Linked DNA regions of Struthio camelus. The protein of the gene in region 1 interacts with the protein of each later gene in a biochemical or structural test. Links are inferred from orthologs where the notes say so. Each region holds a gene or a part of one and is shown on either strand. Other genes may lie near its edges. The genes, in order: CD244 and SH2D1A.

Region 1 (8,866 bases):
TACCGGTGTTTTGGAGCAGATCGTGGTGTAGATGGTGTTTCCTACCCTGGCAGCCTCACTGCTCCCGTTCTGCAGGGGAAAATGGGCCCCAGCTTGGTTAAAGGATCCAGCTCGGAGCAGGGAAAAGACGTTTTTAGACAGCGGTGGGAGGCAGCACAGGGCAGGGGTGCCCAGAGGCCCCAGCACTCACGTGGTCACGGCTGCGCTGGGCATTGCCCACCTCCTCGTAGATGGTCAGCGGCTGCTCAGCATTTCCTGCTGGACCTTAAGCAATTAGAGCAAGAGGACTGCTGTTTTAGGGGCTCCAAACCCTGGGGGACTTGGCCCTTGGGAAACACTTGAGCAAAACAAATCAGATGGGAAGAGCGATCCTGATGGCAAATTGGAAGTTCTGTGTTGTCCCACATCAGCCCAAAAAGGAGAAGCAACCCCAGGACAGCTCCTCACCTCGCCTCCTCCGGCACCTCCAGGTGATGAGGGCTGCAGAGATGGCCAACACCAGTCCCAGGGCTGCAGCCAGCGCCCACCACAGCTCAGTGGGGAGCAACCCTGGGGAGAAACGAGGGCAGAAGAAATGGGGAAACCTTCGATATGGGGCAGAGCCCCTTCCAAAGCACGTTCTCCATCACACTGCCCCCAAATACCCTGCAGTGCGGGAAAGGGACCTGGCTGGTAAGAGCCAACAGCAGGGCTTGGGCAAGGGACTCTCTCCCTGGGTGTCCAAACCACACTGTGGGCAGGAAAAAACCCTTTGGCCAGGACCAAAATCCAGCCTTTCACACAGCCGAGGGCAAATCACCTGGGGGGCTGCACAGTGCTGCGACATCAGTGCTGGCCGTGGCCCAGCTCACAGCATTGCTGGCATTGCAGTGGTAGACGGTGTGGTTGGCGTCCTTTCGGAGCTGCAGCTGCAGGGAGGACTGGTGCCCCACGGCTCCGGCAGCGCTGGCACGGGACCAGCGGTAGGTGACGTTGTGGGTGCCGGGGACAGCACAGGCCAGCAAGAGGCTGCACAAGCTGTGCTCGCGGAGCACCACGCGCGCATCCAGCACCGGCTGGCCGACGGGCGCTGGAAGGACAGAGGCGGTGAGGGGGGCCGGGGCAACACCACGGTGGCAGCGCGGCCTCCAGACTACTCACCCAGCACTGACACACAGAAGCAGCTGGTAATCTCGAAGCTCGATGCGTTCTCAAAGTGTGCAGCGTAGACACCACTGTCTGCCTCCGTGACCAGGCTGATCTGCAGGGAGAGCGTCCCCCGATGGAAGATGGCTCGCTGGCTAAAACGACTAACTGGGGGCCGCTCTACGCTGCTGCTCTTAGCTGTCAGGATTCGGAGCCGCTCCCCTTTGTCCAGTCTCACTCTCCAGGTAATGCTTTCCCAGAGCAGTGATGGTTCCTCTGGCACCAGCCACAGCTCTCCTCCGACAGCTGCCACTATGTCCTTGCACCCTAGGGGTTCGCAAACAGTAGGAGAAAGAGCTGAGTGGGGGGATTAGGGAGCCAGGGCACCAGCAGAGGGTACACGGCCACCCGCTGTGGAGCAGGGCTGTGCCCCAGACCCGCAGGCTGGCTCCCCCGGTGCAGCCCCACACGCATCCCCCTGGGCAAGCTCAGCCCCACCATCTCTATCCCTTTTGTCCCATCCCAGGGGCACCCCTTGGCCCCAGAAAGGAGGTGGGGGCTTGCAACACCACTGGGAACAGGCTCCAGGCTCCTGCACAGTACCATCCCTAGCCAGTTGCTTATCTTTCACACCCTATCCTCTGCCCTCACAGTGCACGGATGTGCACGCAACATCCTCTCCTCCCTACCTGCCCCTTGCACTGCCCAGCTGTTGGGTTGCAGACCCTACAATAATACACTCAGGTGGCCCATTTGCACCCCAGCTCCTTCCCTACCAGCCCTGCCCAGGGAGGAGAGGGGCAGTTGCCTGCTGGACCACTGAGAAGCCATGAAGCCATGCTGAGCCTCCCCCACTTCTTTCACACCAGCCCCGGATGTCAAGGGCTCTGGCAGAGCTGAGATAAAAAACCCTTAAAATAAACCCAAGTGGCCACCCAGTCTGGGTGCGCACAGCCCTGTGGTTTTTCCTATCTGCACGCAGCTCCAAGTGAGCACCAGCCACCATGGGTGCCCAAGCTTTGCACAGCATGGCCACATACGCATGCATGCTGCGCATGCATGCTGCCTGTGCATGCCACCCATGCACACCCCCCCCGGCACAGCCCAGCTCATGCTGCCTCTCCAGGGAAAGCTCCAGCCTCCAGGAGCTCTGCTCAGCCCCAGCTTCCTGCAGCAGGCTGGGGCTTTGCACAGGAAAGAAGAAAGCCCAGAACAGGGCTCCCCCAGGAAAGGAAAGAGCTGGCCTAGCCCCCAGGAGCTGTTTATCGGCTTCTGGCCCTGATGGGTCACACCTGGGGCTGTTTCCCATCACTCCTGGCACCAGACTACCCTCGAGCAGGAGGAACTACAGCTGCTGCTTTTGGGGCTGTTTGGTGGTGTGAGCACCTTGAAGGCACTAGGAGCCGAGTCTCACTTGTTTAGTTGTCCTCCTCTCCCTTGGTAAATCCTCGCTTTCCTGGGGAACGCTCATCCTGGCTGTGCCTCCTCTAGCCTGGGCAGAGCCCTGGCCTCCTCTCTTTGCAAGAAGAGGAACCAAAGGGAAATTTGGAAGCAAAGCCTCAAAAGATATGTTATATCAGACGAATTTTATCCCAGCGCTCTTGGGGGATGTGTTGCCCCCAGGCGCTTGTGTGGCTCAGCAGGAGGCTCGACTGCCCTCTCCACCCTAGAAAACAGCTCAGGAGCACAAGTTTGTGGTGGAAAAAATCAAACCGGTCCTCCCTACAGGATGGGAAAGCAGGAGGGACAAAAGTAGCCCAGGTTTGTTGCACGGAGGCGATCATATGCTGGCTGGGGCTGGTCTCCAAGGTAGGAGTTTGCACCCTGTGAAGGGCCAAGCGTGGCGGCGAGCTGTGGCGCGTCCAGTGGGAGACCCCGGCCACCCGGCACCGTCAGCAAGGAGAGAGGCAGGTGCTGGGGCGTGGGCGTGCAAGTTCAGGGAAAAAATGACTCAAAATCTGCCCCGTGGTCCAAAGGTGTGATTGTAGCTCACTGTCTGCAGTTGGTACGAGCAGTGGGGCCGGTGCAGCACGGCTTAGGTTAACTGTGCCAGTCAGTGGGGAGGTTTTGCAGCTGGCGCTGAGCTGCCGGCCACTGCAGGCTCAGTCGCTCCAGCTTTGAGCTGAAATCACAGGCAAAAGGTGCTGAGTTTGTTCAGCAGAGAAAACTAGCTTTGAAAAGCTGCATTTCTGGGAAGGTCTGGACAGAATGCAGCTCTTGGGCGCTGCTCCAGGAGGAAGAAAGCTTATTTCGAGCAAACCCTGGGCCCTGCACCCAGCAGGCAGCAGCGCTGCCTGCAAAGGGGAACCAGCGCCCTGGGACAGTCTGGGCCATGTTTACCTGGCTGGGTGCAGAGAGACAGCGCGCCACAGGCCAAAAACCCTCCTCAGCACTAGCTTTGTTGTCCTGCGGCTGCTGCTTCCCACTGGGCATCCGTCCCTGTGAGCGCCTTGAGCCACCCAGCCAGCTCTGCCCACACGTCCCTGCTCCACTGCCCAGCCAGAGCCTCCCATCCTGGCTGCAGGGACAAGCCGGTTTGTCCCTGGTGCCGCAGTGAGCCCCGTTTTGCAGCCTAGCTCACGTGCATCATGCCCCTTCCTCCTCCTCACCTTCCCCAGCGGCGGCAAGCAGCATGAAGCAGAGCAGCACTTGCTGGGGCAGTGCTGGCTGGTGGCACCTGGCGCCTGGCAGCTCCATGCTCCACGCCGGCAGCGAGCAGGCTTCCTGCAGTGGGGCAGGCGGCGAGATGAGAAGCTCCTCCGAGACGGCGACAGTCCGTCAATAGCTTCCTCTGTCCCCTGTGGTTTCTGCGCACCCCTTGTGCTCATGCAACATCCTCCACGTGGTGGAACAAATGGTTTGGGGGGGAGGCTTGCGTTTTTGGGGGGGGGGGGCTGTTCCTTTACTGCTCAGCTTTGGGAGGAGGAGGAGTGATGCTCTCAAGGCTGCAGCAGGCTTTTATGATTTGTGAACCGCAGCTGCGTCAAGCATCCCAAAGTCAGGCCCCAAAAAAAGCCCTGCAGTGACCTGCATTTGTAGGCTTCCAAACAGCCCCAAAGTGGAAGTGACTTCCGAGCATCTCCCCTATGCCCATGGGGCTGCAGTGTCACCCTGCAAATGGGAAAGAGCTAGGACAACCCTATCACGGGATAAGGCTTAGCACAATTTGGCTCTTCAAAGCCCAGCGTCCCAGACAAAGCCCCCACGGGTAATGGGCGGATGCTGCACCCAGCCGGGGGTTTCTATAGCGCAGGACCTGCTCCTTGGTCAGCATCCCCCTGTGAGCTGCATCCCTCCGCTCTCCTCCTCCCCGTTGCCCAGATCTCCCTCACTCCTGCCCAGCTTTGCACATCCCAGGTGGAAAGGCTGGGGCAGGGGGGCTTTTGGAGCTGGAAGAGCATCTAACCCCGTGCAGTACTCCCCAAATCAGCATCTCCCCCGCTGGGGGGGCTGCACAGGGCCGGGCAGCCTCGGGGCTCCCAGGATCAGACCTCAGGCCAGCAGTATTCGCCCACAGCTGCATCATGTCTCACTGCAAGCTTATTCCCTTTCCTGTTCAGAGAACAGTTGCTCCCGCAGCACGGCGAGCTGTGTCCAGTCTCTGCACCGGGTGCTCGGGCTGGGCTGGGCTGGGCAGGGCAGCTCATTAGAAACTGCTTTTAAAAGCTTTTCTCAGGTAGCCTTTCTGGTGTGGTTTACTTTCTCATGCAAACTAGTACAAAGAGTTTGTTGCAGGGTCAGAAAAAGCCTCATGGCAAGGAGAAAAACCCCAAGCAGCCAAAGCTGAAACCAAACTCTGCTTTCTGAATGCTGGAAAGTTTCACTGCAATAGTTCAACTGGGCCATTAAGAAGGAGTAATTTTGAAAAAATATATATGTATATTTAAGAAAACGCTGCAAACCTGGGAAAAAGTATTCTGTTCATAACACTTTAACTTGCTCTAGGAGCCACGGGAGGGCTCCTGGAGGGTAGTGAGTGAGATCTAAGTTGAAGTTTCTTTTCCGCCTCTGGAAAACGTAATTCTCTTTATATTAGCCTTTGATTACAAAAATACTTTAGGAGAAAATAACTCAGAATTGTTATTTGGGAATAAGTATTTCCCACCAGCCCAGAGGGAAGGGGAAGGAGGAGGTGAGTTGCAAGGGGAACGTGTGCAAGCCGGTGAGCTGAGACATGGCTGTCAGGGCGCTGCCGGGGGGTGTTCAGCCCCTCACCGCAGCTTTGACTCTCTCCCTCTATACCTGGGATTTTGGGGCACAGTGCCACCGAAGGCCAGGCATCCCCCGAGTCCCTGCTGCCCCAGGAAGCCTCCTTCCCAGCAGGATGATCCTGCTGCGGAATAGTGAGGCTGAAGGAAGGAGGAGCGTGGAGGGCCAGCAGGAGTGCGCAGCCCGGCACGAGCCCCTGAGCTGATCCGCCACCGTCTGCTCCTGCCCTGCAATCCCCTCGACGCTGCTAATCACCTTAGGGGCTTGGCTCTAAGCCTATTGCCCTGTCATCTGCTCAGCCCTGCCTGGCAGCTCCCAGCTGGGAAATGGCCGCTTTGGGCTGGAGAAGCCCCTCCGGCAAGGGTGCAGTGGGGGAAACTGAGGAACGAAGCCAGGTTTCGCTCAGGAGCGGCTTGCTTTCTGGGCAGCAACCAGCCCCGACCAGGAGCTATTTCCAGCCTTTGCGGGAAGGGCTTTGCAGAGGGGCTCTGTAAATGGACAGAAAGGGAACAATTTCCCGTTAAAGTCTTCGGAAGATGCTGCAGCAGCAGTTGGGCTCTGGGTGAGCAGAGGGACGCAGGTCAGCTCCGTCCCTCCAGCAGCTGCTCTGTCAACACCAGAGCTGGTTTTCTGAGGCGAAGGGCGAGCAGAAACTAAAGCAGAAATGAGCAGAAACTGAACAGAAAGTATTCTCACTGAAATTCGTACTTGGGATGGGAATATATTCCCTGCCGCGTCCACCTCCTCAAGGGAGAAACCCCAGCGCATTACCTGCCCTGCGCCGACACATGAATTGCCCTGATTTCTCCCCTGGGGCGGAAAGACACACTAATTATTCGTCAGCAGTGCTGGTACCTCGTTGTTAATCGTTCACGTTTCAGGGTAGTTTCCCATCTACAATCACTCCCTTGTGTGCACCAGGGGAGAGGCCAGGCTTGGGCTCGGCGTTTCCCCATGGCGGCCGTTTCGGGGTGTCACGTGGCAGGATCCAGTGGTGATTTTGGTCTTGTGGCCAGCACTTGCCACGATATGGGGTGAAAAGCTGACGTTTGGGGTCCCCCTTGCAGAGCCCACAGACATGCTGCGGCCAGAGCGGGGGGAACAGCTTGGGCCCCTCCAGCAGTGGGGAACTGAGGCATGGTGCATCCCTGCGGAGCCGGCTGCAGCAGGTCCCAGTGGGACAGGGCTGTGCAGGCTCCTCTGGCCCCTTCCACCACTTGTGGGCAGAGGAGCAAAAACTCATTAAGGCTACAAAGGAAAAGCAGCACTTTGCAAGGTGGAAAACCTCCACTCAGAGCATGGGCTGAGCCGATTAATTAGCGCTTTTGTCCGCGGCTCAGTTCAACACACAGGGAACAATTTCCATTAAGGGGAGCTTCCCTCTGCCAGGCGCTCTTTCAGCTGCTGGCCCGGGGAGTGGAGCCATGGCAGAGGAGGGAAAGAAAAGGAGGGAGGAAGAAAACAGGAAGGGAATGAAAGGGAAGCGTTTGCCACGTTTCGCAGACCACACTGAGGAGGAAGGGAAGATGCTGCATGCTTGAAGCACCGCATTGCAGAGGCGAGGGTGTTTTTATTCAGCGCATCAGCTGTGCTTTCTCGTTCCCCTTCCAGCTAAATTTGGCCCCCAAGAGGTGAAAGCAAGGAGGGCTCCCGCGGGCCAGGGTTTCTGCACAGGCAGAGCTGCTCGTGTGGCGGCATGCTTGGCCCAGGGACACGTGGCCGCTTCCCCAGCTCCGACGCCTTCCCGGGGCCCTTCCTGACCTAGGGGCCGGGAAAATGGCCAGCGCATCTGAACCGCTCCTGCTCGGGCATCCCCCACGACCACCGCCGGGCCAGCTGGGAGCTGCTGGGAGTGGCGAAGGTGACGGCCGATGCACGCCAGGGAGCAGGCTCCCGCAAACTTGCACCACCCTTGCATGGGGCTTTCACCCCCAGGTCCAAGCCACCACCCTTCCCCTTTGCAAACAGCAAAAGCAAACGCAGGGATCTGGGTGCCTCCTGTTCGAATCCGCTTTCCGCAGGCCAAGCAATGAAACAGGCTGGTTGTGCAGCCCCTTCCCACCCCGTCCAGCATCCGCTTCAGTTCTTAACTGAGAGATTGGAGGCAAAATATCCTGCCAGCCCCGGAGCTCGGCTCTGCCCAAGAGGTGGCAGCATGCACCCACGCTCCGTCCCGGCCGGAGCTGTGCTGCCAGGGCCAGGGCCCAGCTTGGGCCTGGGTCTCCCCACCATAATGTCCCCCAGATCCCTCTAGTGCTGCACCCACCCCTGCACCAAGCACACGGCAGTGTCTGGGCTCAGTGCGGGACTTCTCTCCGGTGGGAACGTCATCGGTTGCGTGTTCATGGCCCCGAATCTGGCGCGAGATAATAATTGAACGTCTCATAAAAAATTATGTAGTTTATAATAAGTGAATTATTTACTGGTGACCCTGACTAAATGCTGCGTGGTATAAATTATTGAGTGGTAGATCCGTCAAAAAGTTCTCATAAATAAGTTATCTGGTGCCGTCTTAATGTTCCCAGTAAATTACTCATTCAATCTCCCATCTAAATGCTCTCCTGGGGAAATTACTCGCTCCTGCTGATTTATGAATTAGGACTGGGCAAATAAGGATGATTAGGAAGGGGAGCCCTGTTGGGACGCTGCTTCGGCGGGACGCCTCGCCCTGACACGCGGACGCCAGCACAGGGTGCTCACCTGCCAGCCAGGGGCCATGGGCAGGTTGTGCCTGCAACCCTCAGGCCAGTGGGGACAAGTTCAGGTGCCGCCACTATTTCCCTTTGCTGGAGGGACTCAGAGTGGCTCGCTGCGGCGGGATGGCGTTTACCTCCTGGCCGCCCTCTGTGGCCACCCCGGGTGGCTGTGGGCTTGTCACCTGTGTTTTATTGGCGGCCAAGTATTGCACGCTGTACTAGTTGTGTGTTTTATTGCCTCTATAATCACCACCCTGCAAACAGGCGTTGCCAGCTCCCCACCAAGTTAAATCCTCCCTTCCGAGGACTCCTGCAATTTGGCACCGTCCTGTGTTTCACCGGAGACATGTTACCAGCACTGTGACTCACCCGGGGACCAGGGCGGCTCTCGCCAGCCCGATTTCTTCCCCCTCGCAGACCCGCTGGGGACAAAGGGAGGGTAACTCAGGGCAGGGGGAGCACCGGACCCGCAGCTGGCAGCTCCCTAGCGCCACCACTGCAGCCGCTTCCAGTGAATCTCTTTCCTCTGTCTCGTTTCCAGGAGCAGAGCTGATTAAAATAATACATTAACTATGCCTCAAACTCGCGGAATAACATGATGAAAAAGCGAGTTCCCCGTGATGAGATGCTGCCTGCAAAGGAGGCAATTAAATCAATCTTGGAGGCCAGCGAGTTTGCAGGGGGAAGAGAGGTAAACTCGCGTGAGCCAGCGCGGGGTTAATGGGAGGAGATCAGGACGGCTTAAGGGACGTTCAGCCGAGTTGTCTTGTGGGCAGCTCAGCGCAGTTGGGGCACCCAGCAGGGCCAGGCAGGCGGTCCGCAGGGGGACATGCGCT
Region 2 (9,370 bases), on another chromosome or scaffold:
GGCCGAGGGTGCGTGCTGCCCCGGCCCCTGGGGTCCCGCCTGGCTCGGGGGGCCGGGCTGCCCTCTTGCTGCGCGGGAGGGAGGGCTTTGCGGAGTGGGGTGGGAAAGGCAGGTGAATTCCCCGCTGGACGATCCCGGTGGAGATGCGTTGTGCTGAGCCTTGCCGCGAGGCTGGCAAGCAGGACCGAGAGCGAGCCTTTGGTCTGCCGGCGACCACGCTTGCTTTACCCCACGATAAAACCACAGCGACTGCTCGTTGCGAACTTGGGTTTTATGCTAAGGTGCCAGTATAACCTATTCCCGTGAGGCAGCAAAGACAGAAACAAGGCTTGTCTTCAGGCAGCTTGTTTCCGCTGCTTGAGCCAAATGACTGAACCACAGCAAAGGCCCAAACTTCTGGCTAGGGGTTTGCCTGAGAAAGTTGGGATGTCATGTGTAAAGTCTTTGTGTATTTTTTTTATTTGTTGATAGCTCACATATGAAATGGATGTTCTTACAGAACCGCGCGTTCCTCCCCTGCTTAACCAGCCGTTCCCGAGAACAACGCGTAAGATCGCGGCATCCGAAGGAAGTAGCAAAGATGTCCTTCTCGGCATTTGCTTGAGAAACGTGCCCTTCTTTCAGTGGTTTAGCAACAACAGAAGCTGGAGGTTTTACCCTGTTCCACTCTTGCTGTGCTTATCTTTCACGTGCTCTTGGGAGAGGTAAACGCTAAAAGCCAAAAGCAAATTGCACAGCTAATTTTTAAAAACCAATGCCAAGAACAGGGTGTGCAGCCCCACGCCGGGCTGCCCGACTTCCCGCCCTGGGGCTCTCCCTGCAGGTTTTGGGCCAGCCAAGCAGTGCCTTGGCGGGCTGCCTCCTGCCAGGTGGCCCTGCCTAAGCCCTCCCTTCCAACCCGGCGTCGTGGCACCCTCGACGGAAGCGGAGCGATGCTGCAGTGACCCAAGAAGTCGCTTTGTCTTGTGTTTCTAGGTTGATTTATCCATTAAGGACACTCACCCCACAACCTGTCTGCTGTGTGCACAGCCCTGTGCCCCGGGGAGGCCAGAGGACCTGCACAGCCTTAAGAGCAAAGTGACCAAGTCATTGGGCAAACAAGATACAAGCTGCATCAAATCTTGCTTGAGAAATCCAGCTGGTCTCTTAACGAATTGTGACTTTAAAACAAGCGTTTCAAACGAGTGAGTGGCAGTGATGACAGAGGCCGTGGAAACTGGGTAAACCTTCGATTAGTGATCACGGTAAGAGCAAGGGTTCGGCGAGTATGGTAAGAGTATACGAGCCATTGCCTGTTGTAATGCTGTATAAGCGCTCTGTGGTTTAAATGAGAGTGAATTTTACTCTTTAGCGCGTGCCAGGGAACGAGTAAATGGCTGGGGACGCCGTGGCTATGTCAACATCCGTTCAACCACCGGATGGCATTTCAAACAGCAAATCTCACTCTATTTGCACTTCCTGAATGAATTGCTCTAGGAGATGAAGCTGGCCAGTCTTGGCTGTTAGTGGATCCCGTTCGCCGTGGCCTGACGGCGAGATCGGGAGCGGAGGCGATGCAGGCGTTACAGGCGAGAGCCTTGTAACGATAGCAGTCGCTCCCCGGGACCGAGTTTTGTTTGCTCTCGACGCTTGAGCAGGATCTGGCCGCTTCGCGCGTCTCCTGGAGCGCTTGGCTGCTGTGCGCGGGCGACGTCCCCGGCCGGGCGCCCGGCGCTCTGCTGGCTCCTCTCCCGCGCGCAGACGCTCGCCGCCGCGCGAAACACCCAGCGAGGTAACAGCTGTGAACGGGAGCCTGGGGACGAACATACCACCACGTGCCGCCGGCTCTCCCCCACTTCGGCGGCACCACGGGCAGGGCGCAGGAGGGAGGTTTGGGCACACAGAGCCAGGTTTTGGCAAAGAAGTGGGACCGAAACCTGTGGTGGGGAGGGTCTTCCGACTGCGTGTCTTGCTATTTGGCCTGCAGCGGGAGATGGAGGTGCCTAAATCGCTCTCTCCAATGAAAAACCTAAACCCAGCCTGCCACTGCTTGGCGTTCAGGTGCCTCCCTGTTAAAAAAAAAAAAAAAAAAAAAGACTTTCCTAATGATTCGATATTTAAGAATATTTTGAAAGTAGCCTCCTTGTGAGCCTGAGACTTACCACTGAGCCTGCTCTTCTCCCTGGCCACAGGGCTGGGAATTACGTGGCCTGCTGCTTGGTTTTAATTTTAGTCTGACGCTTGCTTTCTAAAAGGCACGTTCTTTTGTAAAAGCTTTGAATTCTCCCTCTTCTCCCACTCCGTCGCCCCTTAATCTCTTCCTGGCCCTCATCCCCCTTGGAAAAACCGCGGCGGCCTGCGCCGGTCCTTGCTGTTGCAGGGGTGACTCGCAAACGCGCTGCAAGCAGGCGACGCTGCCGGGCCGAGCAGGTTCCCCGTTTCGGCAAGACGGGGGCCGGGGCAGGCGGGGTGGCCCGCTGCGCGGCCGCCTGTGCAGCCGGGCCGGGACCGCGCCGCCATCGCCGCCGCGGCCGCTCGCTCATGGGAGAGGGAAAGCCGCGCCGACGCCGCGGGGGTTAGCGCCGAGCTTGCCCCCCGTTTAGCCCGGGGAAAGCAACAAATACAAAGCTGCAGCGCGAACCAAGGCGCGTCAGCGCGTTGTGGCGCGGCGCCGCCCCAGCCGCCCGCCCTATTTTTCCCTTTGTTTAATTGAAGCTCAGGAAGCGTAAACTGTGACGGTTCTGCAAAAAGGAAACGGCACCACAGGTGACTTCCTCAGCAGGAGCAATTATTATATGTTTATGTTTTTTGTTGCAGCCTGTGGCTGTCGGTGTGTAACTGACGTGCAGCGTTCGACCCGGCAGCGGCTGGCGGGGGTCGTGCGGCCCGGGGCAGGCGAAGGGGCAGGCGGCGTGGAGCCGGGCACCGCGCAGAGCCCTCTGCCCGCCGGGTTTCCTCTCGCCACGCCGCCCGCCCTCGTCGGAGGGCGAGGACGTAGTTGAGCGAGGCGGTCTGATACGAGTCAGACTCCCAAGCCGTTTGCGAGGTGGCTGAGGGGGGGAGCTGGGGCGTTGAGCCTGTTGATTCGCAAACTTATAACCCGGAAAGTTAACAGGTAAAGCCAAAAAAATAAAAAAGGCAACAGCTCGCGTGCGGTTGCCTGGGACGCCTGCCGCGCGTTGCCTGCGCCGCAGCGAGCAGCAGCTCCGACTGGAGCCGGCACCTTCTCCGCTGCAGCCAGCCCGAGCTGGTCGCTTCGGTAGCTGTTACGGGAGCAGCTGAGGAGGTGGCTTTCCTTCCCCACCAAATGTAACTGCAAAACGTCCTGCGCGGGGCTGCTCCGGCCGTGTCCGCCGGGAGCCGCCAGCCTCCTGGGCCCTGGGGCGTCTCGCTGGCCCGCGGGGAGGAAGCTGCTTCTCCTCCTCGGTTTCCTCCCTTGCTGCGGCAAAGGGAATAAACGCTGGTTCCTCCCCCTCGAACGGGGCCACGCAGCAATTTCTGTTCGGCCTGGGGAAATGGGGAAAGGCTCCGGCACCTCGGTACCCGCTTGGCCCCTTGGCTCAGACTAGTGCAAGCGTCTTTTACCACATTTCCTGCCTGGGTTTCGTTAAGGGTGGCACGTTACTGCAGAGTTTTCTAGTTTTGGTATTGATGAGCCTGTATTTTCAAAATAACTAAATAAATAAATAAATGACAAGAAAAGAAAAAGAGACAAAAGGTGGCGAGGGGCTGTGGGAGCCGCCTGACCTTGGGCGCGCGTGCCAGGCTCATGAAACGGTGTTTCAGAAGCACGAGGCGGTGAGGAACGCGGGCTCGGGTCTTAGCCCAGCAGAAAGGGCCGGGTCGTCGAGCGCGCGGCCCCGCCGGGCCGTGGCAGGCGCTCCCGGCGTGCCGCGCCGGAGGGTGCCCCGTGCCGCGGAAAGGCCAGGGAAGAGCCTGGAGAAGACTGAGCTGCAGACACCGTCCTCCCGAGGAAGCGCTAAGCCCTTTAGCGAGGTAGGATTGCGTCGCCTTGCCTGAGGCTCGTGCCGGGGGAAGGCTCTCGAGGTTCGATATCTGCGTATATTCGTGTTTGCAGAGCTAACAGCCCCGCGCTCCGCAGGAGCACTGTAAATATGAGCCTTTTCTCGTCACCAGCGCTTATCTTGATTTCAGAGCGCTCTGTGGCACCCGGAGTATTTAACAGGCGCCCGGACTTTGACTAATGGTTACAGATGCCCATAAGATAGCGAGATTAGCATCTCAGCTGTCTGATTAATATGTAAATGTACCCAGTTATGTGTGAGAGCTTTAAATGAAGTAACTCTCACTTCTGCCTCCATATATCAAAGGTGTGATTGATGGAAGAAGCACTGTAGGTACCTGCTGGAAAGCATAAAAGTTGTTTTTGTCTATATTTTTCCTTTTAAAAAAAAAAAAAAGTAGACCTAAAGCTGAGATTTCCTTAGGGAGAAGAAACAACCCAGTCTGAGTTTAATCTAAACTAATCCAAATTGTTGGCCACACTCCGGCAGTATCTGTAAATTCTCGGATAGAAATAATCCATCAGGATCTTGTACAACAATCCACATGGTATCTTAAATAAACCTTCTCTTTGGCTGTAGCTTGCAGCTGACATCTACTGTAAATTATTTGATGATATTTTATATGAAAGGCTCTGGGCTGAAATGTGTGTTGTGGGAAAGGAAGGAGGCCCCAGCCCGGTGGAAGATGTTCCTTTTCTTTGCTTCCCCAGTTACATTATGCAACGCAGCTCTATTTTGCAACCTGCCTTTCGGGGAAACGGTGTGTTTTCCTGGGCTGAACAGCTCAGTAAAATAGAAATCTAGAAGCATCAAGTGATTTGTGCACCGTAAAGGGCTACGGGCTCCCTGGGAGAGGGGGAAAGGCCGCGTGCGCGGGGACGTGGGCTCCAGCCTTGGAGCCGCAGTCGTCCCCAGTCGCAGCCAGGCCTGCTTCACCGGCGCAAGGGCAGCAGCTCCCGCCAAGTACCCTCGAGAGCTGCTGGGTCGGTGGCTTAGTCTAAACGCTTCCTCAGGCGACGGCAGCGGCGAAGAGGTGAGAGGCCCTTTGCTCCTGTTGTTCCTCCAGGCAAGGTGCTTCCTGCCAGGGCCGTGCTGCGACGAGGTGACGTACCTTTTCCTCGTTGGGAGGACAACCCTTGAAACGCCACCAGAGAACACCGCTGTGAGTCAGAGCCTTCTTTCATCCTGCCCCTGAAAACCACGGCGTATGTTTCAAAATCACTTTTTGGCAAAATAAAGACCATCGCGCTGAAACCGGTGCGGGGGGAAGTTTTGCAGTGGTAGTAAAATCCAGCAAGATGCTGCCAGCTAAGCATTATATAATGTCTGCTCTCTGGGATTTGAGCTGTAAAGCTCTCGACTGCTGCAAGACCTCACAAAGATAAAATGCGCTGCAGCGCCTTGCTGTCAAAGGAGCGCAGAACACTCAAATCCCGTTATCGCTCTCCTTTGCTTCAGCCTTCTCCCCCTCGCGGGGATTTCGGGGGCCCAGGGCACGCATCATTTTCATCTCCTCTGCGTCTCTGCGGAGGATTCACGATGTGCCATCCCCTTTGCGAGACGGCCCGGCTGCTAAGAGGCGAGCTGGTAGCCCTGCTGATTAATATGATTGCTCAGCAATTCTCATTATAATGCTGCCTTGCGTTGCTGTCTGCTTATAATGGTGTCTTGTAGCTTTATCAGAGCATAATTGCTTCATCCAAAATTTTCCATGCCTTTAGCTGTTTTTTTGTTTTTCAATGGTTAGACTTCTTCTTTTTTTTTTTTTTTTAAGAACAAGGATAGGGAAAGTATGAAGTTTAGTTATTAAAAATATTTGCTGACGTTCTCTTTGTAAGTGAAAACGTTGTTTTCATCGGGATACAATGGAAGGAGGAGCAACAGCCCAGAAACGCAGCAGGTCTTAATGCTGTCAGCAGTAAAACAAGCCACCACCGCCACTGCCCCACCGTGCCCCCAGCACTTGGTGCTCAGCCCTGAGGAAAAGGCATGCTCGGGCTGTGCTGCCGGCTGGGGCAGCCCACAATGCCACGTGGCCGCGAGCCAGCTGGGACGGTGGTGCTGGAGGTCACCACCATAAGAACGTGCGTCCCTGCATGAGCACCATGTGCATCTTTGCTCTCCAAAGTCTTTTTTCTACTTTAGTGGTAATTCTACTTGTGTAATTTTCCCCCTGTTTAAGTGCAGCAGCCTGGACACACATGCTGGCATTTTAAGGATATTTTTCTTATTTTCTTCCAGTTCCTCTAATGTAGGAGAATCACCTCCTTGTAGGCACTGACGTCAAGAATGGTTTATTGTATTCTGGGTGACGTATTAATTTAAGATAATCGTTGGGCAGATGTTTAAAGCTTCCAATGCAAATCAATGCAATTAAACATGAAATAATACTTCACAATTCGTACTGAGAAATACCTTTATCTGAGGCTAATGTTTCAGAATGAAATGTTCAGCAAGTTTGCTGATGATACTAAGCTGGGGGGAGAGGCTAACACACCAGAAGACTGTGCTGCCATTCAGAGGGACCTGGACAGGCTGGAGAGCTGGGCGGAGAGGAACCTCATGAAGTTCAACAAAGGCAAGTGCAAGGTCCTGCACCTAGGCAGGAATAATCCCATGCACCAGTACAGGCTGGGGGTTGACCTGTTGGAAAGTAGCTCTGCCGAGAAGGACCTGGGAGTGCTGGTGGACAACAAGTTAAACATGAGCCAGCAGCGTGCCCTTGTGGCCAAGAAGGCCAATGGTCTCCTGGGGTGCATTAGGCAGAGTGTTGCCAGCAGGTCGAGGGAGGTGATCCTGCCCCTCTACTCAGCCCTGGTGAGGCCTCACCTGGAGTACTGTGCCCAGTTCTGGGCTCCCCAGTCCAAGAGAGACATGGCACTCCTGGAGAGAGTCCAGCGGAGGGCTACCAAGATGATTAGAGGGCTGGAGCACCTCTCCTCTGAAGAAAGACTGCAAGAGCTGGGCCTGTTCAGCCTGGAGAAGAGAAGACTGAGAGGGGATCTCATCAACGTGTGCAAGTATCTGAAGGGGGAGTGTCAAGAGGATGAGGCCAATCTCTTCTCCGTGGTGCCCAGCAACAGGACAAGAGGCAACGGGCAGAAACTGAACCACAGGAAGTTCCACCTGAACCTGAGGAAAAACTTCTTCACTGTGAGGGTGACAGAGCATTGGAACAGGTTGCCCAGAGAGGCGGTGGAGTCTCCTTCGCTGGAGATATTCAAAAGCTGTCTGGACGTGATCCTGGGAAATATGCTCTAGGTGACCCTGCTTGAGCAGGGAGGTTGGACTAGATGATCTCCAGAGGTCCCTGCCAACCTAAACGATTCTGTGATTCTGTGATTCTGTTATAGCAGAACTGTTGAGTCTCTGTTAGGCGGGTGTGAGGCTGATGGGTTTTGACCTGGGATTATAATGGGGTCACTTCTCTCCCTTGAAGTCTCATGGGCTTTCCTGACTATTCTGTTCTGCTTGCTGTTTTTGTCATAAAACACAGCCCTTCCTGCAGTGCTGGTCAAGGCTGCTTCAGCAGGAATATTGTTTATTCCTTGGGATGTGTTTTTTGGAGCCTAGTGCACTCCAACGCCCAAGTTCCCCTGCTCCCATCCTTGTTAAGGGCGAATGGCTGCTGGAGGCCAGCCCAGAGCATGAGGCAAAGCGGGTGGCACGGTGCCGCTGGAGAGGACTCCTGTGAGCGGTGCTGACACGATGAGAGGCTGACCCGTACACCCTGGGGAGAGGTTTCTCTTGTTTCTCTGCATCAGCTGAAAGAGCTCTTGACGTCAATGTCTTTGCTCCAGATTTTCATCGCCTTCCTGCGGCACGTTTTCTACTTTGCCTTCTCTTCCCAAGTTTCTGTGAAAGGCAAATCAAATGGTCGTTTGGGTTCACTGCATGTTGGTCTGTGCTTCAGCTCGAAAATGCTTAAGCGTCCATCAAGTGGAAAAAAAGTCAAAAAGTATTCATCGTCAAGAGAGATTGGGTAGAAGTACAGTAAAGGATATAGCTTTCTTCTGAAAGAAAAAACTGGTGTCATTACCTTGGCACAATAATCCCAGGGGATCTCACAATAATCACTATCAAAGGTGGGAGACACCCAGATGCAATCACTTTTTTTCTGCCTGAGAGGACTCAATTTCACGTCTCCTGTCTTTGGAGAACGCCCTCATCGTCAGACTCTGGGCTCCTCAAAGCACGAGCATTTTCCATGCTCCCCTTTCAGCCATGGTAACAGACAGGAAGAAATAAGATTAGAAAAGAATAAGGTTCCTTGTGTGAGAAGGGGACAACCTAAACTCTGGCAGGTTTAGGCAGTTCCTGGGAGAAAGGCAGCCTGAGTTCTGCTTTTTTTTTTTTTTTTTTCCTTTTTTCCCCCCCAAAAATTACTTACTTACTTTTTACCCAATGACTATTTGATGCCTTTGCAACTGAAATGCCCTCAGGGTAGACTGAACTTTAGCAATGTCAGAAAAGTTGGGCACTCCCTTGTTGAATGGTATTGTAACTCACAAAACTGATGCATATACATATATATATATATATGAAAATGTGTGTAGTCTACTCACTTTGTGGTCATGTAACAAACTATTCATGTATTAATATTTATTAATGGCTCAGATCTTAGAACCTTCTAGGGGGAGAGTGTCTAAAGTTTCAGTAGTTCATCCTGTCTGCAGGCCTCAAATACTTTGATCCTACATTACAGAAATATGCTTAAAACTTGTCCAAGGAACAGGCAGTATTTCAAAGCCTTGCTGCTTAATCTGACACCACTTTAAAACTCAACTGCCGAGTGGTGCCAGCCTATGCCTCTCTTCCCAAGGGCCCGCATGATGGTCGAGCATCACAAGTAGTCCCAGAGCAACCTTGTGTTGAGTTCCTCTTTGCTTGGCCACGTGTTTTCACCCTTTTACAGCCATAGCCAGATCTTTTATGGTAGATTTTTTTTCCTTTCAATTCTAAAGTGATTTTAAAGCCTTCTAATGACAATAAACATGCTCCTGATCTGCCACGTTCAAGCTGCAATTTATGTTGTCTCATACCAGCAGCAACTCTAGCACCTGAGGCAGGGAGAAGGGCTTTCCGCTGTCAGGCTGATGAGCAGAAATGGGTATGTGCTATTTAATTAGGAGCAGCAGCGGCTTCCCACAGAGCAGCCAGTGCATCGCCAGAAGGCAGTGTGTGCAAGATCAGCTCTGAAACGGGAGACCCATCCCACCTCTCACCCTCACCAAAGGACACAGAAACCCACCCGAGCAGTGCAGGACCTTGTGGGATTCAGCTCGCGGACACAGCTAAAGCTGTTCTGGTACCTGTCTAGGTATAAATTTGTCAGATTTACCTCTAAATTGTCAGATTAACCACAA

Evidence for each region.
Region 2: the proteins of CD244 (region 1) and SH2D1A interact in a biophysical measurement, tested with the Homo sapiens proteins (2 studies listed by IntAct). The link is inferred for Struthio camelus from reciprocal best matches to the Homo sapiens genes CD244 and SH2D1A.

The regions. Positions count from the first base shown.
Region 1 is NC_090971.1:5,239,657-5,248,522, forward strand, and holds the start of CD244 (natural killer cell receptor 2B4), read right to left. Parts: upstream 3,926-8,866; 5' UTR 3,823-3,925; coding exon 3,735-3,822; intron 1,453-3,734; coding exon 1,141-1,452; intron 1,070-1,140; coding exon 800-1,069; intron 550-799; coding exon 448-549; intron 265-447; coding exon 191-264; intron 70-190; coding exon 4-69; intron 1-3. UniProt on the Homo sapiens protein: Heterophilic receptor of the signaling lymphocytic activation molecule (SLAM) family; its ligand is CD48.
Region 2 is NC_090952.1:10,914,559-10,923,928, reverse strand, and holds the start of SH2D1A (SH2 domain-containing protein 1A), read left to right. Parts: upstream 1-5,055; 5' UTR 5,056-5,166; intron 5,167-9,370.